Linked DNA regions of Lonchura striata. The protein of the gene in region 2 interacts with the protein of the main gene of each other region in a biochemical or structural test. Links are inferred from orthologs where the notes say so. Each region holds a gene or a part of one and is shown on either strand. Other genes may lie near its edges. The genes, in order: TGFB1 and DCN.

Region 1 (16,285 bases), on a different chromosome or scaffold from region 2:
GTCCCCAATCCCCCCAATGTCCCTGATGTCCCCAATCCCCTGGTGTCCCCAATGTCCCCAATGTCCCCAATGTCCCCAAATGTCCCCAATGTCCCCAATGTCCCCAATGTCCCCAATCCCCCCAATCCCCCCAATGTCCCCAATCCCCCCAATGTCCCCAATCCCCCCAGTGTCCCCAATCCCCCCAATGTCCCCAATCCCCCCAATGTCCCCAATGTCCCCAATGTCCCCAATGTCCCTGATGTCCCCAATCCCCTGGTGTCCCCAATCCCCCCAATCCCCCCAATGTCCCCAATCCCCCCAGTGTCCCCAATCCCCCGGTGTCCCCGTGTCCCCACCCCCCGCAGTGCTGGCCCTGCAGCTCGCGCCGTTGCCGGTGGCCGTGCAGGGCCTGGGCGCGCTCGGGCGGCAGCGCCATGGCCAGGACGTGCGGGACCCGGCGGTGGCGGCGCGCGATGCTCTGCATGTCCCCCCGCTGCTGCTCGAAGCCTGGGGACACGGGGACACGGGGACATTGGGTGATTGGGGGGATTGGGGACATTGGGGACACTGGGGGGATTGGGGACATTGGGGACATTGGGGACATCGGGGTCATCGGGGACATTGGGGACACTGGGGACATTGGGGACATTTTGGGGACATTTGGGGACCCAGCTCTCGCTGTCCCGGCGCTGCTGCTGAAAATTCCCCAAAATGCCCCAAACTGAAACCAAATCCACCCAAAAAATCCCGAAACGCCCCAAAACGCCTCAGATCGACCCGAATCCCCTCAAAGTCTCCCAGAATCCTCGAAAATCCCCCCAAAATCCCCAAATCCCACCAAAGTCCCCCAAAATTCACCCGAAATCCAAAAATCCACCCCAAAATCCCACAAAATCCTCCAAAAAATCCCAAAATCCCCCCAAAACCCCTCCCAAAACCCCCCCAAAATGCCCCCAAAATCTCCATCAAAACTCCCAAAAATCACCTCCAAATCCCTCAAAATCCCCCCAAAATTCCAAAATTCCCCAAAATCTGTCAAAGCTCCCCCTGAAAGTCCCCAAAATCCCCCCCAAAATTCACCAAAATCCCCCAAATCCCCCGAATCCCCCAAAGTCCCCCCAAAATCCCCCAAAATCCCCCAAAGTCCCCCCAAAATCCCCATCAAAATCTCCCCAAAACCCCCCAAAATCTCCATCAAAACTCCCAAAACTTACCTCCAAATCCCCCCAAAACCCCCATAATTCCCAAAAATCCCCAAAATCCCCCCAAAATCCCTCAAAAACCCCCAAAATCTTTCAAAAATCCCCCTCAAAGCTCCTCCTGAAAGTCCCCCAAATCCCCAAAATCCCCCCAAAATCCCCCCCAAATTCCCCAAAATCTCCCCCAAAATCCCCCAAATCTCCCCAAAATCTCCATCAAAACTCCCAAAAATCACCTCAAAATCCCCCATAATTCCCAAAAATCCCCAAAATCCCCCAAATCCCCCCAAAATCCGCTGCCGGTACCTTCGATGGAGATTTTGAGGCTGGGGGCGTCGCCGGCGGCCTCGCAGGGACAGTGAACGCTGAGCCGGAACAGCCCCAGCGGCTCTAAAGGGGAAATTGGGAATTTTGGGGAAATTTGGGGATTTGGGGGATTTTGGGGAAATTTGGGAGATTTTGGGGGGATTTGGGGGGGATTTTGGGGAAATTTGGGGGGATTTTGTAGAAATTTTGGGGGTTTTGGCTCGCAGGGGCAGTGAACGCTGAGCCGGAACAGCCCCAGCACCTCTGCAGGGGAAATTTGGGGAATTAGGGAATTTTGGGGGATTTTGGGGAAATTTGGGGGATTTGGGGGAAATTTGGGGGGATTTTGGGGAAATTTAGGAGCATTTTGGGGAAATTTTGGGGGTTTTGGCTCGCAGGGGCAGTGAACGCTGAGCCGGACCAGCCCCAGCGGCTCTAAAGGGGAAATTTGGGGGATTTGGGGGATTTTGGGGAAATTTGGGAGATTTTGGGGGGATTTGGGGGGATTTTGTAGAAATTTTGGGGGTTTTGGCTCGCAGGGGCAGTGAATGCTGAGCCAGAACAGCCCCAGCGGCTCTAAAGGGGAAATTTGGGAATTTTGGGGAAATTTGGGGAATTTGGGGGATTTTGGGGGAATTTGGGAATTTTGGGGGAATTTGGGGGATTTTGGGGAAATTTGAGGGATTCTGGGGGGATTTGGGAAGGTCTGTGGGTTTTTGGGGCTGTGGCGACGCCGCCGTCCCCCCTGGAGCCACGCTCGGATTTTTGGGGGGATTTTGCCGTATTCGGGTGGAATTTTGGCCAATTCCTGCAGAAGTTCTGGGAATTTTGCGGGTTTTTTGGGAATTTTGCAGGATTTCCAGGAACATTGGGGGGATTTTGGGGAATTTTCCAGGATTTCTGGGAATTTTGCAGAATTTCTGGGAACTTTGTGGGATTTTCATGAATTTTGTAGGATTTTCATGAATTTTGCAGGATTTTGGGGAATTTTGCGGGATTTCCGGTAATTTTTTGGGATTTTTCGAGAATTTCGCGGCATTTCTGGGAATTTAGCGGGATTTCCGGGAATTTTGTGGGATTTTTCTTAATTTTCCAGGATTTCTGGGAACATTGCAGGATTTTCATTAATTTTGCGGGATTTTTGGGAATTTTGCGGGATTTTTGGGGAATTTTCCAGGATTTCTGGGAATTTTGTGGGATTTCCGTGAATTTTGCAGGATTTTCAGGAATTTTGTGTGATTTCTGGGAACATTGCAGGATTTCCATGAATTTTGCGGGATTTCTGGGATCTTTGCGGGATTTCCGTGAATTTTGTGGGATTTTTTGGGAATTTTGTGGGATTTCCGTGAATTTTGCGGGATTTCTAGGAACTTTGCGGGATTTCCGGTAATTTTGGGGGATTTTCTGGGAATTTTGCAGGATTTCCGGGAATTTTGCAGGATTTCCGGGAATTTTGCGGGATTTCCGGGAACTTTGCGGGATTTCCGGGAATTTTGTGGGAATTTTGGGAGCTCGGGCCCACCGGAGCCGCGCAGCCACTGCCGGACGCTGTCGGTGACGTCGAACCAGAGCCACTCGTCCTCGGCGGTGACGCTGACGGAGCGGCCCTGCAGGAAGCGCCAGGAGGAGTTCCCGAAACCCTGCGAGACGGGGACACGGGGGACAACGTTGGGGACATCATCGGGGACAAGATCAGGGACATCATCAGGGACATTGGGGACATCATTGGGGACATCATCAGGGACATGGGGACATCATCGGGGACATCATCGGGGACACGGGGACATCATCGGGGACACGGGGACATCATCGGGGAACATGGGGACATCATTGGGGACACGGGGACATCATCGGGGACATCATCGGAGACATTGGGGACATCATCGGGGACACGGGGACATCATCAGGGTCACGGGGACATCATCAGGGACATCATCAGGGACACGGGGACATCATCAGGGTCACGGGGACATCATCGGGGACACGGGGACATCATTGGGGACATCATCAGGGACATGGGGACATCACTGGGGACAGTGGGGACATCATCGGGGACATCATCGGGGACATCATTGGGGACACGGGGACATCATCAGGGACAGTGGGGACATCATCAGGGACATCATCAGGGACACGGGGACATCATCGGGGACATCACTGGGGACATGGGGACATTGTGGGGATTGGGGACATCGGGGGGCCCAGGTGACGTCACACCAGTTTGTCACCAAATTTGGGGCCAGGCCAGGGCTGGGTCCCCCCACCCTCGCTGGGGGTGGCTCTGGAGCCGTCCCCAATGTCCCCAAATCCCCCAATCCCCCCAATGTCCCCAATGTCCCCAAATCCCCCAATCCCCCCAATGTCCCCAAATCCCCCAATCCCCCCAGTGTCCCCGATGTCCCCAATGTCCCCAATGTCCCCAGTGTCCCCAATGTCCCCAATGTCCCCAATGTCCCCAATCCCCCAATGTCCCCATGTCCCCAATCCCCCCAATGTCCCCAACCCCCCAATGTCCCCAATGTCCCCAATCCCCCACTGTCCCCATGTCCCCATGTCCCCATGTCCCCAATCCCCCAGTGTCCCCATGTCCCCAATCCCCCCAATGTCCCCAATCCCCCACTGTCCCCATGTCCCCAATGTCCCCATGTCCCCAATGTCCCCATGTCCCCAATGTCCCCAATCCCCCCAATGTCCCCAATGTCTCCATGTCCCCAATGTCCCCAATGTCCCCATTGTCCCCAATCCCCCACTGTCCCCAGTGTCCCAGTGCCCACCTGGTAGAGCTCGACTCTCTGCTCCGTGCCCAGGGCCGTCCCCGCTGCTGTCCCTGTGGCTGTCCCCGCTGTCCCCGCTGTCCCCGCTGCTGTCCCCGCTGTCCCCTGGCGCAGCATGCGCAGCTCGGCCCGGCTCAGCTCGGCCCGGCCCAGCCCGGCCCGCAGGCGGGACGTGTTGAACACGAAGAACAGACTGCGGGGGGTGGGGAGCCAGCGCTGCGCCTCACCTGCGGGACAGCGGGGACAGCGTGGGGACAGTGGGGACAGGATTGGGGACAGCGGGGACAGGATTGGGACAGCGGGGACAGCGTGGGGACAATACTGGGGACAGCATTGGGGACAGTGGGGGGACAGCGGGGACAGCATTGGGACAGCGGGGACAGGATTGGGACAGCGGGGACAGCGTGGGGACAGGATTGGGACAGCGGGGACAGCATGGGGACAATACTGGGGACAGCACTGGGACAGCGGGGACAGCGCTGGGACAGCGGGGACAGCATTGGGGACAGGATTGGGACAGTGGGGACAGCGGGGACAGCGCGGGGACAGTGGGGACATTGGGGGGATTGAGGACACTGGGGGGACATTGGGGGGGTTGGGGACATCGGGGACACTGGGGACATCCAGGGCCATGGGGAGCACTGGGGACATTTGGGGACATTGGGGGACTGGGGACACAGAGGGGTCACAGAGGGGACACCAGGCCACTGGAGGCCACCTCAGGGTCACCCAGGGGTCACCAGGAGGTCACCGAGGAGTCACCGTGGGGTCACCCAGGGGTCACCGTGTCCAGCTGTCCCTCAATGTCCCCATGTCACCCCAGGTGTCCCCGTGTCCCTCACCCTCCCCGGGGCTCTCCATGGGGAAGCGCAGCAGCTCCTTGGCGGGGCAGTCCTGCGGCTGGTCAGGCTGCTCCATGTCCCCGTGTCCCCCCGTGTCCCGGTGCCACCCCCGTGTCCCCAGCTGTCCCCAGGTGTCCCAGTTGTCCCCAGGTGTCCCCAGGTGTCCCAGGTGTCCCAGGTGTCCCCAGGTGTCCCCAAATGTCCCCAGGTGTCCCCAGGTGTCCCCAGGTGTCCCAGGTGTCCCAGGTGTCCCCGGTGTCCCCAAATGTCCCCAGGTGTCCCCAGGTGTCCCCAGGTGTCCCAGGTGTCCCAGGTGTCCCCAGGTGTCCCAGTTGTCCCAGGTGTCCCCAGGTGTCCCCAGTTGTCCCCAGGTGTCCCCAGTTGTCCCCAGCTGTCCCCAGGTGTCCCAGCTGTCCCCAGGTGTCCCCAGGTGTCCCCAGTTGTCCCCAGGTGTCCCAGCTGTCCCCAGGTGTCCCCAGTTGTCCCCAGCTGTCCCCAGCTGTCCCCAGGTGTCCCCCCGTGTCCCCAGGTGTCCCCAGTTGTCCCCAGTTGTCCCAGGTGTCCCAGGTGTCCCCAGCTGTCCCCAGGTGTCCCCAGTTGTCCCCAGCTGTCCCCAGCTGTCCCCAGTTGTCCCCAGGTGTCCCCAGGTGTCCCCCCGTGTCCCCAGGTGTCCCCAGGTGTCCCCAGTTGTCCCCAGTTGTCCCCAGTTGTCCCCAGGTGTCCCAGGTGTCCCCAGGTGTCCCAAATGTCCCCAGGTGTCCCTCACCGTCCCCGGGGCTCTCCATGGGGAAGCGCAGCAGCTCCTTGGCGGGGCAGTCCTGTGGCTCCTCAGGCTGCTCCATGTCCCCGTGTCCCCAGGTGTCCCCAGGTGTCCCCAGGTGTCCCCCTGTGTCCCTCCATGTCCCCATGTCCCTGTGTCCTCCCGTGTCCCCAGTTGTCCCCAGTTGTCCCCAGGTGTCCCCAGGTGTTCCAGGTGTCCCCAGTTGTCCCCAGCTGTCCCCAGGTGTCCCCAGCTGTCCCCAGTTGTCCCCAGCTGTCCCCAGGTGTCCCCAGCTGTCCCCAGGTGTCCCAGGTGTCCCCAGGTGTCCCCAGGTGTCCCCAGATGTCCCAGGTGTCCCCAGTTGTCCCCAGCTGTCCCCAGCTGTCCCCAGGTGTCCCCAGGTGTCCCCAGCTGTCCCCAGGTGTCCCTCACCGTCCCCGGGGCTCTCCATGGGGAAGCGCAGCAGCTCCTTGGCGTAGTAGTCCTGCGGCTGCTCGGGCGGGCGCCGCCGGGCGCGCTGCCGCAGCAGCTCCCGGGTGCTGTTGTAGAGCGCCCGCACGTCCTCGGGCAGCGCGGCCGGGCCCGGGCCGGGCTCCGCGGGCGGCGCCGGTAACCGGAGCTTGCTCAGGATCTGGCCCCGCACGGCCTCGATGCGCTTGAGCCGCGCCGCCTCCAGGTCCAGCGTGCGGCAGGACGAGAGAGCGCGGCACGGCACGGCCAGCGCGGCCAGCAGCGCGGCCAGCAGCACCGGGACAGGCACCGGGACAGGCACCGGGACCCGCACCGGGACCCGCACCGGGACCGGGACCCGCACCGGGACCCGCACCGGGACCGGGAGGGACAGCGGCACCGGGACCCGCACCGACAGCCGCATCCCGGGACAGACCGGACACCGGGATAAAGCCTCGGGAGGGACCGGGATAAACCCTCGGGAGGAACCGGGATAAAGCCTCTGGAGGGACCGGGAGGCTCCGGGATAAAGCCTCGGGAGGGACCGGACACGGGAAACCGGGACGCACCAGGATAAAGCCTCGGGAGGGATCGGTAGGGACCGGGATAAAGCCTCTGGAAGGACCGGGATAAAGCCTCTGGAAGGACCGGGATAAAGCCTCGGGAGGGACCGGGATAAAGCCTCGGGAGGGACCGGGATAAAGGACCAGGATGGATTAAACCGGGACAGGGAGAGACCGGGAGAAATTCCCGGGAGCAGTTAAAGACACCGGGACCGGGATAAACCCCCGGGAACGGAATAAATCCCCTAAACCGGGACACGCCCCCTCAGAACCGGGGTAACCCCCCCAGAACCGGGATAAACTCCCCTAGAACCGGGATAAACTCCTCAGAACCGGGAGAAACTCCCCAAAACCGGGATAAACTCCTCAGAACCGGGATAAACCCCCCAAAACCGGGATAAACTCCTCAGAACCGGGAGAAACTCCCCAAAACCGGGACAAACTCCCCAAAACCGGGAGAGCAGTCCGGAACCGGGTCTTAACCCGGGACACCCCGCACGGAACCCGCCCGGATTTCCCCTCCCGGGCTCGGTTCCGCTCCCGACTGTCCCGGTGGTCCCGGTTGTGCCCCGGGTTGTCCCGGGTTGTCCCGGGTTGTCCCGTTTGTCGCGGCTGGTCCCGGTTGTCCCTACCGGTCCCGCTTTGTCCCGGGTGGTCCCGATCCTTCCCGGTCGTCCTCGGTGGTCCCGCTTTGTCCCGGGTGGTCCCGGTTTGTCCCGGTTTATCCTTTTTGTCCCTTGTTTGGCCGCTTTTTGCCCGATTTTGCCACTTTTGGCCCCGTTTCGCCGCGGGCCCCACCCAGGAAACGGGGCCGGGGGGGGGGAGGGAAGGGGGGAGGGGAGGGGAAGGGAAACTGAGTCACGGCCCGGGGGGGGGAGGGGGCGACGCTTCCGCGTCTGGGACATTTCCGGAGGGGGGAGGGGCGGGGGGACACCCGCGATGGGGGAGGGGCTCCAGGACCCCCCCAAAATTGTCACCTCCCTCCCAAAATTGCCACCTCCCTCCCAAAATTGCCACCTCCCTCCCCAAATTGTCATCTCCCCTCCCCAAATTGTCCCCTCCCCCCCAAATTGTCACCTCCCTCCCCAAAATTGTCACCTCCCCCCCAAAATTGTCACCTCTCCCCAAAAATTGTCCCCTCCCTCCCAAAATTGTCACCTCCCTCCCAAAATTGCCACCTCCCCTCCCCAAATTGTCCCCTCCCCCAAAATTGTCCCCTCCCCCCCCCAAAATTGTCCCAAATTGTCCCCTCCCCCCCAAACCCCCCCCTGAGCCGCATTTGGTGACAAAACTTTTATCTGGGGACAAAGGGGAGGTGACAATTTTGGGGAGGTTCCTCCGGGATGCCACCAGGGTTGTCCCCTCCCCTCAAAGTTTGGGGACCCTCCCCAGGTGTCACCTCCTGTCCTGGCCCCCCCCAGGTGCCACCCCAAGGTGACCCCGGTGTCCCCAGGGTGTCCCCAGGATGTCATCCCAGGTCACCCTGTCCCCAGTGCCACCCCGGTGTCCCCAGTGGTGTCCCCAACAATGTCCCCAGTGCCACCATGTTACCCCAGTGTCCCCAGTGGTGTCCCCAGTGCCACCTTGGTGTCCCCAATGATGTCCCTGATGTCACCATGCCACCCCAGCGTCCCCAGTGCCACCATGCCACCCCAGTGTGCCAAATGGTGTCCCCAATGTCACTGTGCCACCCCGGTGTCCGCAGTGCTACCCCCAATGATGTCCCCAGTGTCCCCAGTGCCACCCCAGTGTCCCCAGTGTCACAGTGCCACCCCGAAGCGCGCCATGTGCCGCGGCATCACGCCGAGGCGCAGCCGCACGGTGCCGGTGTCCCCAATGGTGTCCCCATTAACCCAATGTCCCCAATGGTGTCATACTGTCCCCAGTAGTGTCCCCATCACCCCAGTGATGTCCCCAATGTCCCCATCACCCCAGTGATGTCCCCAATGTCCCCATCACCCCAATGATGTCCCCAGTGTCCCCAGTGTCACAGTGCCACCCCGAACCGCGCCATGTGCCGTGGCAGGACGCCGAGGCGCAGCCACACGGTGCCGGTGTCCCCGATGGTGCCCCCATTACCCCAGTGTCCCCAATGTCCCCAATGGTGTCCAAAGTGTCCCCATCACCCCAAAGGTGTCCCCAATGTCCCCAATGGTGTCCCAGTGTCACAGTGCCACCCCGAACCTGGCCATGTGCCGCGGCAGGACGCCGAGGCGCAGCCACACGGTGCCAATGTCCCTGATGGTTTCTCCACTAACCCAATGTCCCCAATGGTGTCCCCAGTGTCCCCATCACCCCCCCAAAGGTGTCCCCAATGTCCCCAATGGTGTCCCAGTGTCACAGTGCCACCCCGATGTCCCCAATGTCCCAGTGCCACCCCGAACCATGCCATGTGCTGCGGCAGGACGCCGAGGCGCAGCCGCACGGTGCCGGCGGCCTCGGTGCCCCCATTACCCCAATGGTGTCATACTGTCCCCAATGGTGTCCCCATCACCCCAATGGTGTCCCCAGTGTCCCCAATGGTGTCCCCAGTGTCCCCAGTGTCACAGTGCCACCCCAAACCGTGCCATGTGCCGCGGCAGGACGCCGAGGCGCAGCCGCACGGTGCCGGCGGCCTCGGTGCGCAGGCGGAAGCGCTCGGCGGCGCCGGCGGCCGCCCCGGCGGGGTCGCGCAGCTCGGGGGCGCCGGGGCCCAGCAGGCGCTGGCGCCGCGTGCCCCGCGGGCGCCAGGTGACGCAGGTGACGCGGTGGCAGCCGGGCGCGCTGGGCACCGCGCACACGCCGTAGCCCGCCAGGCCCCGCCGGCCCCACGCGTCCACGTGCCACACCTCCAGCAGCAGCTTGGGCCAGCCTGGGGACAGGGGGACATCACTGGGGACATCAGTGGGGACATCAGTGGGGACACTGGGGGGACACTGGGGGGATTGGGGACATTGGGGGGACTGGGGACACTGGGGATATTGGGGGGATTGGGGACATTGGGGACACTGGGGGGATTGGGGACATTGGGGAGATTGGGGACACTGGGGACATTGGGGACATGGGGACATTGGGGGGACATGGGGACATTGGGGGGATTGGGGACATCAGGGACACTGGGGGGACACTGGGGACACTGGGGACACACCTGGGGACCCTGACACCACCAGTGTCCTCCCTGAACACCCATGGCCCTGACAGTGTCCCCGATGTCCCCAATGTCCCCAATGTCCCCAATGTCCCCAATCCCCCCAATGTCCCCAATGTCCCCAGTGTCCCCAATGTCCCCAATCCCCCCAGTGCCCCCAATCCCCCCAATGTCCCCAGTGTCCCCAATGTCCCCACTGTCCCCAGTGTCCCCAATGTCCCCCCAGTGTCCCCGATGTCCCCACGGGTGTCCCCGCACCCTGCAGGCCGCGTGTCCCCAGGTGCAGGTCCAGGGGGTGGCTCCACTGGGCGGCGTCGCCCCCCTGGGGGTCGTCGAGCTGGGTCTGCCCCGCGCCCGCCCCGGCCAGCAGCGTCCAGGCGGAGCCTGCGCCCAGAACGGCCCAAAATCAGCCCAAAATGTCCCAAAATCACCCCAAAATCAGCCAGCAGCGTCCAGGCGGAGCCTGCGCCCAGAACGGCCCAAAATCAGCCCAAAATGTCCCAAAATCACCCCAAAATCACCCCAAAATCAGCCAGCAGCGTCCAGGCGGAGCCTGCGCCCAGAACGGCCCAAAATCAGCCCAAAATGTCCCAAAATCAGCCCAAAATCACCCCAAAATCAGCCAGCAGCGTCCAGGCGGAGCCTGCGCCCAGAACGGCCCAAAATCAGCCCAAAATGTCCCAAAATCACCCCAAAATCACCCCAAAATCAGCCAGCAGCGTCCAGGCGGCGCCTGCAGCATGGAGCGGCCCAAAATCAGGGAAAATCACCCCAAAATGTCCCAAAATCACCCCAAAATCAGCCAGCAGCGTCCAGGCGGAGCCTGCAGCACGGAGTGGCCCAAAATTAGGGAAAATGACCCCAAAATATCCCAAAAGCAACCCAAAATGGCCCCAAATCACCCCAAAATCAGCCAGGAGGGTCCAGGTGGCGCCAGTACCCGAAACGGCCCAAAATCAGCCAAAATCACCCCAAAATCAGAGAAAATCACCCCAAAATCAGCCCAAAATTTCCCAAAATCAGCCCAAAATGTCCCAAAATCAGCCCGAAATGTCCCAAAATCACCCTGAAATATCCCAAAATCAGCCTGAAATGTCCCAAAATCAGACTAAATCACCCCAAAATCACCCCAAAAATCACGACAAAATCCCCCCAAAATCACCTAGGATACCCCAAAACCCCCGAAATCCCCCAAAATCATCCCAAATCACCCCAAAATCACCTGGGACACCAAAATCCTCTTAAATAACCTCAAATCACCCTAAAAATTAACCAAAATCACCCCAAAATGATCCCCAAATCACCTAAAATAACCCAAAAATCATCGAAAACCACCAAAAATTCTCCCAAATGGCCCCAAAGCCCCAGGTCCCCCCAAAATCACCCCGGAACCCCCAAATCTCCCCAATATCCCCCCAAAATCTGCCCAGAACTCCTCAAATGTCCCCAAATCTCCCCAAATCCCACCAAAATCCCTCCAAAATCTTCCAAATTCCCCCAGTTCCCCTCAAAATCCCCCCAAATCCCCCAAAATCTCCAAAATCCCAAAAATCCTCTAAAAGATCCCCAAATCTCTCCCCCAAAACCCCTAAAATCCCCCCAAAATTCCTCCCAAATTCCCTAAAATCCCCCAGACCCCCCAAAATCCCCCAAAATCTCCCAAATCCCCCCAAAATCTCCCAAATCCCACCAGAAATCCCCCAAATTCCTCCCAAAATCCCCAAATCTCCTTCAAAAACCCCAAATCTCCTCAAAACCCTCCCCCAAATCCCCCCAAAATCCTCCAAACAAACCCGAATTTCCCACCCAAATCCCCAAAATCCACCCACTACCTCCCAAAATCCCCCAAAATCCCTCCCAAAATCCCCAAATTCCTCCCAAAATCCCCCCAAATCTCCCCAAGACCCCCAAAATCTCCCCCAAACCCTCCCCCAAATCCCCCTAAAATCCCCAAAGTGCCCCCAAAACCCCCCGAAATTCCTCCCAACTCCCCCAAAATCCCCCAAATTCCACCCAAAACCCCCAAATCCGCCCCAAATCCTCCAAAAATCCCCAAATCTCCCCCTAAAATCCCCCCAAAACCTCCCGAAATTCCCCCAAAATCTCCTTCAAAATCCCCCAAACCCCCCAAATCCCCCTAAAATCCCCCCAAAATCTCCTTCAAAATCCCCAAAACCCCCCAAAATCCTCCAAAAATCCCCAAATCTCCCCTCCAAATTCCCAAAACCCACCCCTTACCTCCCGAAATTCCTCCCAAAATCCCCCAAATTCCTCCCAAAATCTCCCCAAATCCCTTCGAAATCCCCCCAAAATCCTCCAAAAAAATCCCCAAATCCCCCTAAAACTCCCCCAAAACTCCCCGAAATTCCTCCCAACTCCCCCAAATCCCTCCCAAAATCCCCCAAATTCCCCCAAATTCCCCAAAATTCCCCAAAAATCCCCAAAATCCCCCCAGACCCCCACCCCGCCGCGCTCACCGGCGTGCAGCCCCCACTTGCAGAAGAGGCGCCGCTCGGAGAAGCCGCAGCCGCTCTCGATCTGCCCGAAGAGGTGCAGCTCCGCCATGGGCTGCGGGACCCGAAACCCGCCGGATTCACCCCAAAAATCCCCCCAAAAAAATCCCAAAAAATCCCAAAAAATCCCCCCCAAAACCGCCCCGTTCTCCCCTCCCGCCATCCCCGCCCGTCCCTCCCTCATCTCCACCCATCCCCTCCGTCCCCCGCCCCAAATTCCCCCCAAAAATCCCCAAAATCGCCACAATTCCCCCCAAAATTCCCCAAAATTTCCACAATTCCCCCCAAAATTCCGCCCGCGCGGCGCTCACCCGCCCCCTGCCCGCGCCGCCACTGCGCATGCGCGGGCGGCGCTGCCGCATTGCGTTGCCACGGTAACGCCGGGCCGGCGCTGATTGGTCAATGCGGGTCAGGCCACGCCCACAAAGAGCGGCGTTATCACTGCGCATGCGTGTGAGGCAGAGTTTGCCGTACGGCCGCCGCCATCTTGGGCGTTACAGAGTAGGGGGACGCCATCTTGAGGGCGGCGCCGCCATCTTGTGTGTACCGCCGCCATCTTGGGGTGCCCCAAAGTGGGGGAAAAAACCAAAATTGGGGGAAAATCCAAAAATTCGGGGGAAATCCAAAAATTGGGAGGAAAAACCCAAAACTGGGGGAAAAACCCAGAAACTGGAGGGGGAAACTGCAAAACTGGAGGGGAGAAACTAGAATTGGGGAAAAAAACAGAAATTTGGGAGAAAACCCCAAAATTGGGGCAAAAACCCCAAAACTGGGGGAAAAACCCCAAAATTGGGGGGAAACCCAGGAATTGGGGTAAGAACTACAAACTTGGGGGGAGGGAAAACCAAAATTGGGGGAAAACCCCAAAACTTTGGGGAAAACCCCAGAAATTGGGGAAAGAAACCAAAAAATTGGGGGGGGAAACAAAAATGGGGGGAAAAGCCTCCAAAATTGGGGGGAAAAAATCAAAATTGGGAGAAAACTCAAAATTGGGGGAAGAAACCCAATACTGGGGGGAAAAATCTAAAATTGGGGATAAATCCCCCAAAATTAGGGGGAAAAAACCCAGAAATTGGGGAGGAAATCCCCAAAACTGAGAAAAACCCAGAAATTGGGGGGAAAACACCAAAATTGGGGAAAAAACACCGAAACTGAGGAAAAACCCCAAATTTCATGTCCCTCCCCTCAATTTTACTTTTCCCTCCAAATTTTGGGATTCCCTCTCCTAGATTTCAACCCCCTCCCCCAAATTCCCGCCCCTCCCCCTCCCCAAATTCCTCCTTCCCCCAAATTCTGCCCCTCCCCCCCAAATTTTTCCTTCCCCTCAAATCCCGCCCCTCCCCCTCCCCAAATTCCTGCCCCAAATTCCCACCCCTCCCCCTCCCCAAATTCTCGCTCCTCTCCCCAAATTCCCTCCCCTCCCCAAATTCCTCCTTTCCCAAATTCCTGCCCCTCCCCCCAAATTCTGCCCCTCCCCCAATTCTGCCCCTGCCCCCCAAAATTTTATTCCCCTTCAAATTCCCGCCCCTCCCCCTCCCCAAATTCCCTCCCCCCCCCCAGACGGGGTCAGAGGTCACGGGGGGGTCACCCCAAATTTACTGCACGGACACCACAGCACAGAACCGACCACGACACCACGGGGGGGGGCCCCCCAAAATTTGGGGAGGGGTTGGGGGGGGGGAGAGACCCCCAACCCCCTCCCCTCCCCCACCCCCCCTCCCGACCCCCCCCAAAAACCCCCCCAAAATCCGCCCGCGGGGGGGGGAGGGGAGGGGGGCGCGGGAGGGGGGGGAGGGACCCCCAAAATTTCCCATCATGCAACACTCGGCGCCCCCCCCCCCCCCCAAAATTTGGGAGCCCCCTCCCCAAAACCTCCCCTCCCCCCCCCCAGCTCGGTTATGGCTTTTGTCGGGTTTTTGGGGGGGGGTCGGGGGTTTTGGGGGTTTTTGGGGGTTTTTGGGGGTTTTTGGGGGGCGGCCCCCCCTAGGGGAGGGTGATGAAGGCCGAGGCCTTTTCCTTCAGCTGCCGCAGGCACAGGTGGCAGCTCCAGCTCCCTGCCCCAAAACGCCGAATTTCAACCCAAAAATGGCCCCGGAACGGCCCCAAATATCCCCCCCAAAATCGGTAAATATTCCCCAAAAATAGCCCAAAAACTCCCCCAAATATCCCCCCAAAATTGGTAAATATTCCCCAAAAATAGCCCCAAAATTCTCCCAAATATCCCCCCGAAATCAGTAAATATTCCCCAAAAATAGCCCAAAAACTCCCCCAAATATCCCCCCGAAATTGGTAAACATCTCCCAAAAATAGCCCCAAAACTCCCCCAAATATCCCCCCGAAATCGGTAAATATTCCCCAAAAATAGCCCAAAAACTCCCCCAAATATCCCCCAAAAATTGGTAAATATTCCCCAAAAATAGCCCCAAAACTCCCCCAAATATCCCCCCGAAATCGGTAAATATTCCCCAAAAATAGCCCAAAAACTCCCCCAAATATCCCCCAAAAATTGGTAAATATTCCCCAAAAATAGCCCCAAAATTCCCCCAAATATCCCCCCGAAATCGGTAAATATTCCCCAAAAGTATCCAAAAAATATCCCAAAAACTCCCCCCGAAATTGGCAAATATCCCTCAAATATCCCCCCAAATTCTCCCCAAAATCCCCAAATCCCCCCAAAAATCCCCCAAAATCCCCCAAATCCCCCCAAAATCCCAAAAAAATCCCCAAAATCCCCCAAATAATGACCCAAAATCTCCCAAATTCCATCCCTAAAATGCCCCAAAACGCCTCCAAACCCTCCCAAAATCCCTCCAAATTTCTCCCAAAATCTCCAAAATTCCCCCAAAATCCCCCCAAAAATCCCCAAAATCTCAAAAAAATCCCCCAAAATCCCTAAAAGACTTCCCAAATCCCCCCAAAAATCCCCTAAAATCCCCAAAATCCCCAAAATCTCCCAAAATCCCCCCAAAATGCCCCTAAATGCCTCCAAGCCCCCCCCAACCCACCCAAATTCTCCCAAATTCTCCCAAATTCTCCCAGATTTCTCCCAAAATTTCTCCAAAATCTGCCCAAAAATCCCCAAACATCCCCCAAATCCCCCAAATTCCCTTAAAATCCCCCAAAATATTCTCCAAAATCCTCCCATAAATCTCCCCAAATTCTCCCCAAAAATTCCCAAATCCCCCCAAATTTTCCCAAAATCTTCTCCAAAATCCCCCCAAAAAACCCTAAATGCCCCAAAATCACCCAAATTCCCCTAAAATCCCCCAAAATCTTCCCCAAAATCTCCCCAAATACTCCCCAAAACCTCCCAAATCCTTCCAAAATTCCCTAAATTCCCTCCAAAAAAAAACCCAAAATCCCTCCAAAACCCCCACAAAACTTCCAAAAAATCCCCCAAAATCTCCAAAATCTCCCAAATCCTTCCAAAATTCCCTAAATTCCCTCCAAAAAAAACCCCCAAAATCCCTCCAAAACCCCCAAAATCTCCCAAATCCTTCCAAAATTCCCCCAAATTCCTCTCAAAAATCTCCCAAAATCCCAAAAAAATCCCCCAAAGAATGACCCAAAATCTCCCAAATTCCCCCCCAAAATCCCTCCAAACCCCCCCAAAATCCTCCCAAATTTCTCCAAAATCCCCCATAAATATTCTCCAAAATCCCAAAATTCCCCAAATCCCCCCCAAAATCCCAACCAAAATAGTCCCCAAAATCCCACCAAAACCCCCGCAAAACCCCAAAAATCCCCCCAAAAATCCCCCAAAAATCCC
Region 2 (16,847 bases):
GTCTGTCATACAGAAGTGAATTCAGAAGAGTAAAGGTCAGGTTTACCTGTGAGCAGGTGACACAGAGCTCTCCTGTCCCTGCTTGCAGGGCAGTCAGCAGACTCGTGTCTTCATGAGCCACCCAGCTGGGCTGTGTCCCACCAGGGGCTGTCACATGTGACAAAGATGGGTGAAACTCAATGCCAAGGCTGGCACTGCTTGATAAATACTTCCTTGAGTTCTACCAGGGAAGTATTGTTTATTTATTTTTCAGGGCTATATATTTTGAGCTGGCTTGGATGCTATCAGCCCAGTGGATCCAAAAGTACAATCTTTTCATTGTATGATATGCAGCATGTGGGTTTAAAGAAAGCTCAAAATAGATCTCTTTCTTTTCACCCCATGTGAAATTATTTGGGAAACACTGACCTGGGGACTTAATTGCTGTATATCTGAGTCTCTTTGTCAGTATGGGAGTATCTATGCAATGGACTGTAAACAATGTGTCTGTGAAGAAGTGCATGACCAGAGGAGCAAGTACAGGAGCAAAGGGTCCCTGTGTGAATGTCTCTACTTTTTCACCAAGTGAAAACTCATTACATTCTGCAGAATTGAAGCAGACTGAGAACAAGATCTCTAAATAACTTAAATTCCATCAGCATTACTAAGTGTAACAATAATAAAACCTAAGACTTTCATGGCATGTGGGGCAATCTCCTCCCCACTCCCCATTCCATGTTTGCTCTCTCTGGCACCTATATGGTAAAAAACCCCCATCTTTCAGGAGGTTTAGTACTGTGGAAGCTTTCTGAAAGTATAGCTAGGTTAGCCCACTCTGTTTTGTGCAGCATTGTTTACTGAGTCTTTGCCAAACATATCTGTTGCATAATTACATGGCTCACTTTAATAAATTCACAGAAATTTCTAGGAGTATAGCTAAAGTTTTTCCTCCTTTCTGTAATTATACAACCCCTAAAACAATGAGAAACAGGTCCTAATTGGTGGATTTGTGCCATGATTTATAGTGACTATCAAAGCCAATGTTATAACAGGAAAATAGAAATACCTAGTTATACATTTAAAGAGCTAGGAGGACTAAAAGAAAAAAGAAGCCCTATAAGATCATGAGCAGTTATTTGTCTGTTTTCTTGTGAGCAAAACCAACTCTAATTGATTTTCTGCACTATATACTAAATAAATGTACACTGAATTATACTGGTTTAAACTAAGAGCAGTCTCACAGAAGTGATCTTCATTACTTGAGATTTCTGCATTGAGAAGTCAAATATAGTGATGGCAGACATGGCTTCATATCCTGCTACTCTGTGCACACAAGCCCTTCCCTTACATAAGGGAGTAAGGAAAGTTTGTGAGGAATGTTCTCATGGTTTCAGCTTATATAGTGTCTTAGAAAGATATTTAATAAGGAATTCCATGCTGTGTTCATTATTTTGGTGTGTTTCCAAGCCCTTTACTCCTAAGAGCTGGTTCCAATATATATGATTCAGTTGGTGATTTCATGCTCATGCATTCCTATGAAAATGAGATGACATCTATGTTGAGGCACTAGACAGTATGATTAAAGGTGTTGGACCTTGGACCACACAATTTAGAACATTTCAAAATATTTACACATCCACATCTAACTTTACTGCATTTATTTATATTAATCTGAAGGAATACTTTGAAAAGTTATTTTCTCTGCAGGAGAAATCCATGGCTTTTCAAAGAACAAGTGAAATGTTAAATGTTAAAAAAATCAACCCTTCTTCATGGTCACAACAATGCCCATCTTGCCCAGGCTTTATGGCCTACTTTGTATAGTAAATTCTGGTTAACTGCAGCAGTAGCGTATTTATTTGAAACAAGGCAGTGAGGGAGTGACAGTCCATGGCAGCCTATCCGTCCCAGCTGCTAGCCTGTGACTAGAAGGCGACTACAGAGCCTCTGGAGAAGCTCTTGGCTTACCTAGGTCAGAGCACTGCACCACACGGAGATGGCACTGGCAGCGGAAGGGGCACACGGGTCCAAAGCCGGAGATGACGGGATCATCCGTCGGAGCCATGTCAGCTGAGCCCTCATCCTCCAGCATAAAGTCAAAGAGGCCCTGCTGGTGGAAGGGCTTGGCCAAGCATGCTGGCAGCAGGAGCACAAAGAGTAGAGCCAGCCTCTTCATGGCTTAGTTCATTGACTCCCAGTAGAACCTAGGATTCAAAGCAGTGGATTAATAACAAAAGTAGCAGTTTCCCATAGTAGCACAGTTCCTCCTGAAGGAGGTCCAGCACATCCACCAATTGCATAACTGTTCCTTTCAATAAAAGAAAACTGAATTGTAAAAATAGGACAGTTATGTGATAGGAGTCTGGTAGTAACTCCTTGTCAATAGGCCTTTTTTTTTTTTTGCAGAGCAGTTTAAAGGCAACAGTAAACACATCTGTTTGCATATTTAGAGTAATATTTTTTAGAAACAGGCAGCGCTGTCAACTTTGTTATGCAAAAGAGTCAAAGCAATAAGCCACATTTTCCATGTGCCTATTTTCTGCCAACATAACAGTCTATTTGATTTCATTAGCATTTATTTCATAGCAATGGGTTTGACTCTGGGGACAAACCTGAGGTTCCCAAACTCACTGTAATTCAGTATTTCGTGTCTTGAGAAATATTTTTTAAGTATCGGCTTGCTGTGTGTTTTAAATTATAACCTAGTAAAACTGACTCAGAAAGAGTAGGATTTAGTGACAGGGTGGAAAGTGAGGGGAAGATCTTTAGTTGTTTAAATGCACTATACTTCTTTCCAGTTCAGACAACACAATAAAATGGAATACAGTGTTGTGATATATTGAATAGTCTTGGCTTTCTTTCTAAATTTTGACATCCACCCTAAGAATCTTGCTTTGCACTGCATAAGCATTTGAAGTGATGCTTGCAATGTTGTGTGCACACTTTCTAATAGGACTTCAGGGCTTCATTCTGCAGACTTTCATGGTCAGGAGCAACTTTATACAAGTAAGTGTTGCCATAGATATTAACAAGAAAAGCTGCTTAAATACATGTTCTCAGGACTTTGGCTTAGATGCATTTCAACACACTCTAGGTTGTCCTACCTGTCTTGTTGTGCATTAAGGAGAAATTGCACAACTGTTTGCAGGTTTTGTATCAAGGCTATAAAGACCAGATAATTTTCTGAATATTATTTTCCTTTACTCTGTATTTTATATAATGAAGTCCATACTTTACTAACTTTAATTTATTTTTAAAAACCCACCAAAACCAACAAAAAAAAGAAAAACAAAAACAAAATAAACAAAAAAGCAACAAAAAAAACCCCAAAAATCCAAAAAACAAAACAAAAAAAATCCCCCCATAAAATAAACAAAACAATAAACCACCCAAAACCACCAAAATTAAATCTGCCTTCAAATTGGCAAGAGACACAAAGGCAAACTTGTCATTTATATAGAAGCTTTTTCTTAAAATGGATGGCATAATCCTAAATACAGATGCTGCTCTTTGTAATGAAAGCAAAAGTGTCCACTTGCTTCTTCAGGACGATATCTTAGCAACACCTTGCCTGGGTGCTAGCTGGGATTATTTCATTTTCTAGAAGTTATCAAACAGCTAGGGGTGTGGTAGAGCATTTTTCAGCTCCATATTCACTATTGGATAAAAAAACTGGGAGAGGCAGAAGTGGAGGACTGCCTCCCTGTCTACTTTGACATATGGAACCTACCAGGTAGATGACAAGAATGAACAGATGATATTAGGTGCAAATAGTTTACTGAAGCCTGCCTTTCTAATATACTACAACCAGGTATTCTAAAAGGAATAGTTAGTGCTAAGAAAAAAACTAAATATATATAAAAAAACATGAGATTGGATTTAGATACAATTTACATGGTGCCTAGGTTCATTTTCCTTTATGAATTCCTACCTACAGGAGCCAATAATACAGTTCTCCAGAAACCTTTAGGTCTTGTTTCTTGTGAAGATGATTAGGTTGCCTAATAAAATATGCTGGTGTCTTTAAATCACAGTCTATGTTCCTGTGATCTACCTGTCAGGAAGACATGTAGCTAACATCTTCAGACATCCCAAAGACTTCAAAGTGAAACCACATGGAGTAAAACACTGTTTATGTTGTCTCTTTCAGGGACATATTTGTTTTCTTGGACATGAAAGCACTTCTGTTCCTGGAACAGACACCTTACTTACTGCATGTACTGAGGAGGGTCACAGACCCCAACATCAGCTAGAGAGTTTGTAGGATGTTCTGTCAGCCAGTGTTGTGTAAACTCATGACATGTAGCAGGGACAGACTGTGTTCCCATGTGGATCATCCTCCTGCCCTGGCTACCCGCTTACACTGGGGCTGTGTCCCTTTCCCTCCAACACCCCTGCCAGTGCAGGCACAGTGCACAGGGACATGTCAGAATGTCACAGCAAAGTGCTGTTAGTGCATGGCAGTGAGCTGTTAACAGGGTTTCATCTAAAACATGATTTTTGAAAGAGTAATCATCATGTGCAAGTTACTGTAAAATAACAATGCAATTTATTAATAATCTCAGATGAGAAGAAAAATTTGCTAAACCATCACCATTCATCACAATATGCTGCCTTGTGAAAGTGACCAATAAACATTACCCCAGTACAAATTAATTTTCAGAATATATATTAACAACAATAAACATTGGGAATGCTGCACACAAATTCTTGAATGGCAGTGGCAGTCAGGACCTTTAAAGACCTTCCTGTCTTTTTTTTATGTATTAATACTTTTTTAAAACATTTTAAAATACTTAAAACTTATTCAATCCCTTTCAGGGTCACTGCTGAAGTACCACCCATCCCAAGAATGCACAATCAGGATCTTATCCTGGAGTTTAATTATTACCATTCAGAAAAGTCAAAAAAGAAAAAAAAAAAAATGTAAAGGCACTTTGCTTTTTATTCACATTAATATTGATGACTTCATTTATCTCAGTTAAACCCTGTAGCAGGCCTTTCTATTTGTCCCTGTTTTGTAAAAACTTTAATGAAATCAGAAAGAGCTGTCTATAAAGGAAAACTGTAGGACAACAAAGGATATCAAGTATATAATCTGAGGATACAGCAGAGAAAACAGGAGACCCTACATATTAATCACAACATAGGAATGGATATCTTCAGTCACATATGCATTCATACTGCACACACATATATCTGTTCCTATTGCTTGCATGTGTAATTGAACATAAACAAAAAAAAAAAGATATACACAAAACTGTACTACCAAGAAATGTTTACACTTCACTTACCAAAAAAAAGTAGAGAGGACAAAAAAATCTGAATTCTGTGAAACAATATTTATGTCTGCAGGACATAACTGTTTAAAATTCCTTTAATTATGTGTTTACAATGAAGAAGAGTTTTCCACAAGCAGAGGAAACTATACCATAAGCTTGGCCACATTTCGTTTTAAAATACCGCTGAAAATATGCTTCATCAGTTCACGTCACCACTGTATTGGTGGTCTTCTTGTCAGTTTACCTTAATATTAAGGTTAAATTATTAGTTCACCTACTGTCAGAAATCTCTCAAAATTCCACAATGCCAAGCTAAACAATATTTTCCAGTTTCAAAAAATTCCCCTCCATTTTATGTTTTGCCCATTTTGTGCAATAAAGTCCATATATGCAAACACAGGAGTTGGACGTTTTAGAGAATAAAACTTTGTTAACAGGAGTTTCAACTGCATGAATTTTCTTTTCTACTATTTCATTCATAAGAGCCTTCTTTAATCATGATTCCAGCCTCTAACATAGCACTTTCTAACATTACAAAGGCATGCACAGAGCCCGTTTAACTCACTACTACACTTTTTTCCTCTGAAATTGAAATTATATTCATCACTGTCTGAAATATATATGAAGAAACACATGAGAAAGAAATCACAGAGTGCAGTTTAAAGCAGAAATGTAAGCATACACGCATTTTTTACTCTCTGTATCACCAATTCTAAACACCGGATTGCAGAGAATATACTGCTGTAAAAGTTTACAGCAAAGAAAAAGAAAGGACTATAGTAGTGCTTATACAAATCAAAACAAGAGACAGAATAGTCAAATAAACAGCAGGAAATTTGCACAGTCTGAGAATGTATTCTCATGTTTCCAAGAAACAAAAGTGCTGCATAGAAAACTTAACATTACTAAACATTTAGAAGGATTTTTGACTTGCTTCTCTTAAAATTCAAATAGTTCTTGCCATAGACTTGCCCGAAGTTTTATTAGCACAGCATAGTTCAGAAGAATTACTAAAAACCGTACCTTTTAATCCAGGGATTTGCAACAGGAGCTCTCAAAGCAGAGATGTAATTAAACTAAGTATTCAACCCAGGCAGAAGGCTTTGCAGGTGTGGAAAGGAGGAGGGGGTAAATTCAGCTCAGTGACTGTCACTTGGTGGAAAACCCTCCTGCTTCTATTCCATAGCACAGTTAAAAAATGTTTCTCTCAATGAACACAATCCAGGCTGACACCCACATTAGATCATATGGTAATGATATGTCTCCTGTATTGCAGCCAGAAACTTTATCAGCTCTTTTGCTTTCTTTTCCTCCTTTTCCCTTTTCATTTTCTTTATTTCTCTTTCATCTGTTTACAATCCCAAACTACTTGTACATTATAAGACAAATTCTTAGCTGTAATTCATCCTACTTACTTTATTTATGTTCCTACAACATATATTTAGGAAAGTTTTCTTGGTTTTAGCTATGGGGGGGTTTACGACTCATTAATGAAAAAAATGTTTAGCTCTCCCTCTTGTTTATATTATTTGGAAATCAACAAAATTATATAAAATTAATCTTTGAGTTAGGCAAACTAGAGATTAATATCAGGAGAAAAGTGTTAGCTTTTAATAAAACTATTTAAACAGATATCAACCTGCTTTTACTTATGCTATAATCTCTGTCAAACTAAGTAGTATATAGTTTAATATATTATTATCTGGTCTAATAATAAAGTTTGTATGTATTTTTTCAAATGACAGCATGGTTTTGATATATACGAAAATCATGTTTTCATTAGTAAAATGATTCTAACATTTGTGGTTAGAGCTGCTTTATATAAACTTTGCTTTTTTTTTTTTTTTTTTTTTTTCCTTCACTGCCTTCTCACCAGGACAGCAAAACAGAGGGAAAATTAGCTTTAACTGTTTGGGTTTTGTGATGGTGTTTTTTTGTGTGTTTTAATTTTTTTAGTGGGTGGTTTTTTTTTTTTTTTGGCTAGTTAGGGGTTTTTTTTATGAGACAGAAAAGATTTTTTTAAAACATGGGAAGGAAAATTCATCTGACTTATTATTTAGATTTATGTTTTATTTTAGCAATTTCTGGTTTTATGCAACTGATACTGGAAGCCAAAATGCAATTTCTTTATTCCTACATAATTTTAAAAGTAAAGTGATCTGAAATGAGAGAAAATACAATAATTGCTATTTATTTACTAATCCAAACACATTGTTGTTAGCTGTCCTATCTAAATACTGAAGGCTTGTGTTTCTGTGTTTTGACTTGCATCCTTTTTATTTCTGCCCCAAGGCAAAGACCAGGTGCAAATCTGAAATTAAAGCCTGTAAAATGATGCTTAAAAGAAGTCAGAATTTTTTAGAAACATAATAGACTCTTGAAATTTTAGCTGTCCTCCTCATTTAAATTCAAGAAGAGCCCTTATGATAGATCTTAAAATTGTTCTCCTTTGGTGGAAGAAAGCATGGTAGAATAATTGTCTGTTAGTTTTGGTCTCTGTAGAACAAAGGTGTAATCAGACATCTTACAGATTCCTTATATAGCTCACTCTAAAAGTTAAGGATCAATTATTCACCCCTAGTCCTTAAGCTAACTTCTTTTCCCTGCATCTCTACTGGATTCAATGGTTTTTGTTATGACATTTTCCTATATATGATTAGTGGTGTTCCAAGCTTTCATGGTTACAACAAAGCCTTATCTTTGTTCATAAGTGTCGCCATGAGGCTTGCTGAAATCTTGGTGCATCTTAGTAATGTCAGTTATTTGAACCTTGGTCACCAGCTGCATCTGGTGTTTAAAAACATTTCAAAGCAAGATTTTGATGAGGAACAGGTCAGGGTAAACTTGTTGTCAGTTTGCTTCACAAAACCCATTCATATGCTTTTGCAGCACAGCCTTAATACATTTGTTCTGATATCTGTCATGGGGTTGAAAGGCGTTGTAATTTAATGCCTCAGTAATTTCTTTGGAGGCAGAGGGGGGATGAGCAGCCATCTCTCCTTCTCCTTGTCATAGACGTTAGGGAGGTTCAAAAATGAAGATATTGATGGGAACAGGTGGAGCACAGGGTGTCTGCTGGGGGTTCTGTTTTCTTGCATGAAATCCATTCCAAGAAGCTCAGAGGGGAAAAGATTTTACGAGCTTTAGGAATGATGAAAACATTTCTGTTACCTGTTAATACCCAGAAGTAGAAGAGCTGTGTGTTATGTGTACAGCCCTTCCTGAAATAGAAAGTGGAGTTAGGTGGAACAGAGCAACTGAATGGGAGAGGACTTACGACATTGAATATTGATGTAATACCTTATTAATAATATTAGTTGTTTTGAATCGAGGAATTACAGAATCATTTAAATTGGAGAAGACCTCCAAGGTCTTTGAGACTAAACTTTGACTGATCACCACCTTGCCAATTAGACCATGGCCCTAAGTGACAAATCCAGTGTTTTCTTGAACACTTCAGGGATAGTGACTCCATCACCTTGCTGGGCAGCCCATTCCCATGCTTAACCACCCTTTCCATGAATAAATTCTTCCTGATGTCCAATCTAAACATCCTCTGATGCAGCTTGATGTTGTTTCCTCTTATCCCATTGCAGGTTGCCTGTGAGAAGAGACCAGCCCCCACCTGGCTGGATTCTCCCATCAGGCTGTTGCAGAGAGTGATAAGGTCAACCCTGAGCCTCCTTTTCTCCAGGTTAAGAAATCCCAGCTCCCTCAGCTGCTCCTCTTAGGATTTACTCTCTAGAACCCTCACCAGCTTCATTGCCCTTCTCTGAACACACAATATTTTCATGTTTTCATGGGAATGCTTTCTGGTGCAAGTATTCCTTTAATCTCACTCTTTGCCCCCTGCTGTGTCACTCAGAAGATAAACAACCATAAAAAAAAAAGGCAAAAAAAACCCTAAGGAACAATATTAAGTGATTATATAACTTTATGTCCCTTGTGACACTACACAGGGCCTAGCGTCAATCAGCTATCCTTCCCAGTCTGACCTACTTTGACTACGGCTTAGTCAATATAAAAAATAATCATTAGAACAGTCTTGGTTTCTTTGTGATTTTATTACTCCAGTTTAAGAAACTTTTAGGACTACATGCTGCTCCAAATGCTGATTCCCAGAAAGATACAGGCAACTGCATGTTAATGTTATTTATATAACAATATTTTTATTAAATTTTGATAGATAGCATCTGCTTCATTTGCTCTTGGTGTATTTTGTGGACCTTCCAAAGGGCAGTGGTGGGAAAGAAGGCAGGAAGCCCACTTGCTGGTGAGTGCTTTACCTGAGACCAGTGGAAGTCTCTGCAGGAAAGATATGAACACTGCCCTGTATGGAGAAAGCATTTCCTGGGGAAATTGCTCCTGGAGCACGGGGTTGAGCTGGAGGAGAGGCATGTCCAGCGGGCACCCAGTGCTTCCAGAACAGATTGAAAACTCCTCAGAGGAACTGAGATAATTTGTCCCTGGGTGTGGAAAGAAAGGCTTATTTGAGGGAGTCTGGGAAAAAATGGGTAACATTTATTGCAATCCAGAAGCTCCTGGAATGAAACGAAAGCAGGGCAAGATCTGTTCTGCAGGAACATGGCGTCCCATGTCCCAGAGATACTAATTCCAAGTTTTCATCGGAGAAGAAGGCATTTTCTTGGACTGTCATCTAATAAATCCCAGCTTTGATGATCAAAGACTGGTTAGCATTGTTGTGGTTGTTGTGGTAAAGAGGCAAGTCTGCCTCAAAGTCCTCAATAAAACAGAGTTAAGTGCCAGTCTCCATCAGGTAAGTGCTGATCCCCATCAGGAATGGAAAAAACAAATCTCTCACTTGGCTGCCTCATGGAAACCCTCTCCACCTCCTTGGTATCTCACACTTGGACTTTTATGCACAGCTTCCTAGCATTTCATCTTCCACATGATGGTGCTACTACAGACTGTCTCTTCTTTCTGCACTAGGCATAATAATGTCTTCCAAATAAGTGTAGAAAACTGTTCTTCACAGTTAGCAGTGAAGTTCCTTTACTAAGAATGTGAGTAAATATGCACCCCAGCTTAGTAAACATTGATCCAGGTAAATATTGACCTAGGCACAGCCTAACAAGGTAGTTAAAGAGAAGAAATGTAATTTCTGGATATTCTGAGTATGAAAGTTTCCTTCAGCACTCTGTGACCTCAGAAATTATCAGCCTGAACTCTTTCACATTTCTACAGATCAAAAGGGCTAATGTATCTGACTTTGGATGTGTGCTACCAGTAACATATTATTTATGCTTCTGTGAAAAGCAATACTTGTACAACTGTTTGAACAAAATGCAGTCAAACTTCGAAAGACAAAGCTCTCTTTTTGGAGGACTAGGTCTCTTCTGTCACTGTCTATCATCCCATCTCTCCCTTTCCCACTCTGCAAGAGCATGTACTGTTACCTCTCATGGTCATCTTTCCTGTCTTCTGAAGGAAGTCTCTGGGATCTGTAGGTCACTCTAGGAAACTAATTCAAATTTTCCTCAGCTGAAGGATCTGACATGTGATCATATCCTTCACTTTGGTCTCTTTTCTTTGGAAAGGCCTATCTGTTCCTAAACTTGACTGGCTTTCATTTCCACTGGCTTTTCTATTCTCTCCTGAATAAAATAATGTTGTCCAGGTCTTTCTAGCAGCTGTCAAAGTTAACCACATATTGATATAGCCTTACTGCTCACTATGATTTCAAACACTCTGAACTTAACTTCTGCCCTTGAGGAGGAAACATTTCCTGCCTAATCCTCATGTTTTTGTAGTGTAGATGTACATTTTCAGATTGATCTTACCTCTCTCCCTCAAAAATGCAGGAAATAGGTAAAATTAGACTTTGTCTGAGTCCTACCAACTCCTAGCCATGCTACAAGCAAAGAATGAGGGATAAGTAAGTGATTGTGGACCAAAGATCCCAGAACTTCACTTTGACTTTACTTCTTCACCTTTAATTAAAGAAATTGAAAATGCAGGCAAAAAAGTCTGCTCTCACACACCTTGATAGACAGAATATCAGTACTCAGGTGCTCCATTTGCTGTGCTTCAGCTACAGCATTTAATTTTGTTCCTGCATCAGCAGCCTTCTGTCCTCCAGAAAATTTCTTAGATGAAAGAAAGAGTGTGCTAACATCAGCAAAGGTTCCAGGAATCTACAAGTCCCTGAGAAAGACACTTTCCCAGAAAAAGAGTATAATTTTGGGAGTGTGGGCTGTGAAAGAAGAAGTGATGACTGAAGAGGAGAGGATTAGTTTAGGTAAAACGAGATTAATTTTTTTTTTCCAGTGAGAACTCTTTCATCAGATTTTGGCATTTTGTATTTTTTGCAGTATCTTGAGTTGCAGTCCAACTGTTTCCAAGGTTCAGATGAAAAATCCAGACCTTAATTCTCATTTTGACAGCCCTTAGATCATGCTCTGGATAAGCTTCGTCATCCCAGCTGAATTACACAATGCCCTAGAAAAGGATGACAGTAATTCATGCAAATGTTGTAACTGTATTCCTTGCATGTACCCTTTTAGTCATGGGTTATGAACCAGCATTTGAAATGAGGCACATCCTGTGCAGCTCTGAACAGCCTATTCCCAGATTATGAAAAACATGTGAATACAAGGGTCAGCCTGGATTTCCAATGTAGTCATCACAGCAAGTAAACTTGTTCAGGGAGAGCTAGTGACTGTTTTACTGAGGAAAGTCCATAAAAAGGAACAGAATAGAAAAAAACCCAGCATTTATATAAGCCTTTGTGTCTTTTTCTCTGTATTAAAATGTTCATTTTTGGCAATCTGGTGAGGAAAAAATTCTAACTTCAGCTAAACATACAAAATTGTGACTTTGAAAATATAAGCAATGTCATCACAAAACTTACCAGTTTTGTATGGACTGTGTTTTCAAAGAAGGGTGAAATGGAAGTTTACAAAAGAATGCAGTAGTTTACAATTTGATTTTCAAAATATAAATACTTAAAAATAAAAGTCTTGGGTATTTTGGGAAGAGTCTTTAAAATACCCATTGTATTACCTTAAGCAATTGAAGAGTCTTGCCTTAAGCACATATGAGCTTTTATTTGACTACTAAAAATATATATTTTTTTTTCCCTTTTATTCTTGTAAATAAGCTCTTCAAAGGATTGTGCTGACTAAGAAATTGCGCTGATGTTCCTCAACAGAAATTTTCCATAGCCAACCTGGATAAAACATAGTGAGGTTTACTAAATGAAACAGAGTTTAATTCTATATGGAGAAACTTTAAATATGATGACAATTTTTTCAGTTATTGAATTACAGAAGAATGTTAACTGGCAATCAGAAAAAAAAAATTAAGGCTATAATTTTTCTAGACCTTTTTCTACATTACTCATTGTTTTATTTCCTTCTTTACCATTTGTTTCTAAGTTATCTTCAGGAATATTGTGTTCCATAAAGACTGGCTACATTTTAATTTAGAGGATAGCACACATCTGTTGTGTTCCAGCTGAATAAAAGTTAAACTACTCTTATGAATATTGCTTTGCATTTATGTCTCTCTTTTGGCTTTTTGATTGGTTTGTTGTTAGATCTGCATATGTAATAGATGAATTTATGAGCATGCTGGGACAAAGCTCCAGAAAACACAAATCATATCATCTTACTGAAATTGCAACGTCTATTTCTTGACTTATCTTCATCTATCAAAATGTATAAACCCTTAGGGGTCTAAATAAAGATTTGTAAAAGTGGCTAACAGTTTTTTAAAATACGCCTGATAGATTATGATTTTCAAAGAGACTTTCAAAGTGCAGTTTCTGAAAATCAGGTATTGCATAATGCACTGGAGGATGGGCACAGAAAAGAGCTAGACATCCACTCTATCTAACAGCTTTTGAAAAGATCAGTGTATTGTACCAGTTAGAAACTATATACTAAATTTAAGGATCAATATAGTGTGCTTTAATTGTAAAAAATAAATAGGATGTTTCAAAATGAATGTGTCAGTTTTTTATTGCAAGATAGCATGCTTGCCTCTGAAGAAGCCACGTGTATGCAAAGAAAAGTCTATTCAGAGACAGTTCTCTGCTTATAAAACAAAACCCACTCCAAACTGGATCTTGAGACTTGGATGGTTAGAACAGTTATTTCTCAAATGTTGTTCACTGTGCTCCTGTACACTGTATCTCCTTCAAAAATTTTGAAAACAGTCTCACAAGAGGAATAGCCTGTCTTTCAGTCACAATTAGAAATTTCATCTCTCTGAGGAGTTCAGGCTGTATCTGACCCTCTTTCAGCCTGCAATACCATTCATTCTGGTGTCAATTTAAAATGAGACAGAGTTGACAAAAGAAACAATGGAATTAAGTCTGAGAAAATAAACAATTATACAAATTATTGGAAGTGAGAAAAGCAGCTGTTAAAAATACATCCAGGAAAATGCTAGTAACTTGTAAACTCCATAGAACCTTTTAGGCCTTACAAAATCCTTATTTTTGTGTCTTTGTTTTGTTTGGTTGGCTTTTTTTCCCCACAAGTCCCACTATACTATGTCTATAGGTTAGGTCATATTTTAGGCCTGAAGGATACCTGATATTTAGTTTGAAATGCCTAACTAATAATCACCATCTATTTGTCAAGGGCATATGCAGGATGTAACCATATATAGTTTAGAACAAGTCAATTTGCAATCCTCTTCCTTCCTATGTCCCCAAGACATTGCCTTCCCCCATTTTCAACAGAATAAACGTGTATTCTGGACAGCAGTAGGCTGGCAGGGACAAGCTAGCGTTACTTAGGTTTAGGATTACTTTCATACATCTTAATTTTTTTGTGGCTTTGAAGGGCTGAACCTGAAGCGACTGGGATCTCTTCTCCACTTGGTTGTAACTGTTCCCAGGAAACACAGGAGACAGCATTGCCAGCCTGAGAGGCTCAAAGACTGATTTGTGTGCTGAGCCCAGGTATCCACCTACAATGACAACAAAACATTGCTCCATGTGTAGATCTCAGTTTCACCCCTTGTTTCTGAATATATTCTGACTCCCATCCACAAATGCTGCTGGTCAGCCATTGTATATCAATTTAGTACAGAGTTATGGAGCTGGCACCATCTACTGAAATTCTCCCTTTTTTCCTGCAAGTCTCCCCACGGCCTCTCCATTTTTGTGTTTGTAGAAACAATTTGGTGCTATTTTCCAAATCAAGCAGTGTCTTTGTATGGTTTCTTTTGCAAATAGTGAACTCGTAATTTATTACAGCATGTTTCAGATTAAAGGAGAACAATATTAGTGATGCCAAAAAAGTATGAAATGTAATTGTCAAATACACTGGAGACAGCAAAATGGGGTTTTTTTAGTTCTTAAAAGTATTTGAATCCTGAAAGAAGGTCCGACCTGTTTTAGATGACAATTTTTTATGGCTTTTCTTAAAAGGTATATTTCAGTATATTTTATTTCTAAAAACCAAAGCCATAATATGACCTTCTCTTTGTAGTAAAACATCACTGGCTGTAGATTATGAAAATTCACATTGTTGTATTTCAGGTCAGAACCTTTTCAAAATAACACTAGATATCTTTCATCAATGAAAAAGAGAGTCAAATTATAGATTTATGATGAAAGTTTGTACAATATTTACCAGTCTGAGAATTCCTGGGCCTATTCCGAAAAATGTGAATTTTACCTTTCACATAATCTAGTTTTTCATCAAGACATAAGGGTATATTTTCATCTTGTCTGGTTAAGATGTGATGTGCATTTAGGGATCTGCCGGTTTGTAGACTAAATGAGAATGAATTGTGTTTTGGTGGTGATGATAGACAAGCCTTGTGTTGGTGCTAAGTGGGACGATAAAAAATATTGTGCTGATCCTATGATTCCTATAACTATGAACTCTTGACTTAGGGCACCCGGCAATTTTATAGTCAATTACTACAGAATGTGACTTAATTAAATATGGCATTTCTAGACATTCAGAGTAGTTTACCCTCTTTTTTTCCCTAGTTTCATTTTGTTTGTATAAAGCTGATGAACGGAAGTGACTGATGTGACATGTGCAACAGCTTTGCCAATCTCTGACCTACAGTGTGCCCTTTTCCCAGACTTTCCAGGCTTATTGTAAGTGTAAAAGATTGATTTTGGTTTTGATCTACTGCTTACTGAATTTTGGACTTTTGTTTTAGCTTTTCAGAATTTCAAAACTCATAAACACTTGATTACATAAGATATAGAATTCTGTGCATCTGTTTCTTCTTTCCATCTCTTTTCCCTTGAAGAACAACATACTCTATATAGGCAGTAACTGGACAAAAGGATATTTTCTATCACCGTGAAAAAAAGTTTTACATCAACATGTATTTTGCTTTAGAAACTGTAGCATTAAACTATTTTATCTGAATATCATTTTGTTTGTCTTTGTAATAATCCATCTCTTTGAAGGCAAAAAGGCACAAAATCATCAGAGAGGAAATCTGATTTTCCAAATTGTGTGTTGAAAAGGTAAAATAATATTTAAAATAATCAAAATTGATGTATAGTATTTTAAAACAATCAACACAATCAAATGGAAAATCAATGAAAAATTCTGTTCTTACTACAAACCACTTTTCTACATTCTGTTTCATGCAAAAATTCTGTGGAAGCGATTTCATCCAATAGCTGGTTCTCATGAATTCTAACTCCTGTACTCCTGTTTCATTAAGTTACTCAGCTCTACTGATGGCTAGCAAAGTTTTCCCAATATCTCCCAAACATCAGTGTTGCAAATTAAACCAATTACACTTCGTTCTACTTTCTGTGACATGTCATGGCAATTTTCTTCATAGCAACATATTGTGTACTTGAAGTGTCATCACTTCCTTCTTGTTCTCCAAACTGTTAATTCTCTATTTTGCTTGCTACACTTTTCATCCAAATCTTCTGATTTTTCATTTATTCTCTTATATATGATTTTTAAAGTCTCTTCCAATCCATTTATGATTCTCCCACAGATAAAACGGGGTACTGGAAGACTGCTCCAAAGTCTCCATAGACTCTTCTCTTCAATAAAGCAGAATCCAGCAAATCAGTTCTGATCGGATTTGAGCCAAGCTCTATTGTGTGTGTCTTGGAGGCAGAGGAAGTGCTCAGCAGCAAAAATATAGATATGGTGCGGAGGTTATTTCTGAACACTTCTGCATTTAACAGCAAATGAATGACATTGGACATCCACTTCAAATGTCTGGAGTAAGACACTTTTGTGAGACTTCACAACAAATAAGTCATGCAAAAAGATTGGTGCCTCCTTGAGGGATTGCAGGCTTAGATTTCTTCAGTTTGTCTGGTGTAAATATTGCAGAATAATATTTAATATAAGGCTTTGTCCAGCCAATTAAAACTGGGTTTACAATAGCAATTTAAATTGAATTGATTCCGTTCTTTTTAGCATTGCAGAGATTATTTGAAAATGTTTCATGGGAAGCACATTTTATTTCAGAGAAAACTTGTGGTTTGTTTAATGTGGTCAAAAAAGATATTCCTATCTCTTAATATGTCTGAAGTTAGAAATTGCGAAGTAAATTTGCAATGCCAATGAGGCTGGGTTTTCCTTTTCATTGGTACAATGAAAACGTGGATGC

What was found.
Region 1: the proteins of DCN (region 2) and TGFB1 form a complex in vitro, tested with the Homo sapiens proteins (3 studies listed by BioGRID). The link is inferred for Lonchura striata from reciprocal best matches to the Homo sapiens genes DCN and TGFB1.

What each region holds. Positions count from the first base shown.
Region 1 is NC_134633.1:4,796,731-4,813,015, forward strand, and holds the start of TGFB1 (transforming growth factor beta-1 proprotein), read right to left. Parts: upstream 6,738-16,285; coding exon 6,296-6,737; intron 4,489-6,295; coding exon 4,262-4,488; intron 3,128-4,261; coding exon 3,010-3,127; intron 1,572-3,009; coding exon 1,488-1,571; intron 490-1,487; coding exon 339-489; intron 1-338. Other genes in the region: B9D2 (B9 domain-containing protein 2), read right to left, coding at 9,420-9,727, 10,262-10,387, 12,481-12,568; zinc finger protein neuro-d4, read right to left, coding at 14,500-14,570. UniProt on the Homo sapiens protein: Transforming growth factor beta-1 proprotein: Precursor of the Latency-associated peptide (LAP) and Transforming growth factor beta-1 (TGF-beta-1) chains, which constitute the regulatory and active subunit of TGF-beta-1, respectively.
Region 2 is NC_134607.1:52,849,955-52,866,801, forward strand, and holds the start of DCN (decorin), read right to left. Parts: upstream 6,477-16,847; 5' UTR 6,285-6,476; intron 2,184-6,284; 5' UTR 2,156-2,183; coding exon 1,948-2,155; intron 1-1,947. UniProt on the Homo sapiens protein: May affect the rate of fibrils formation.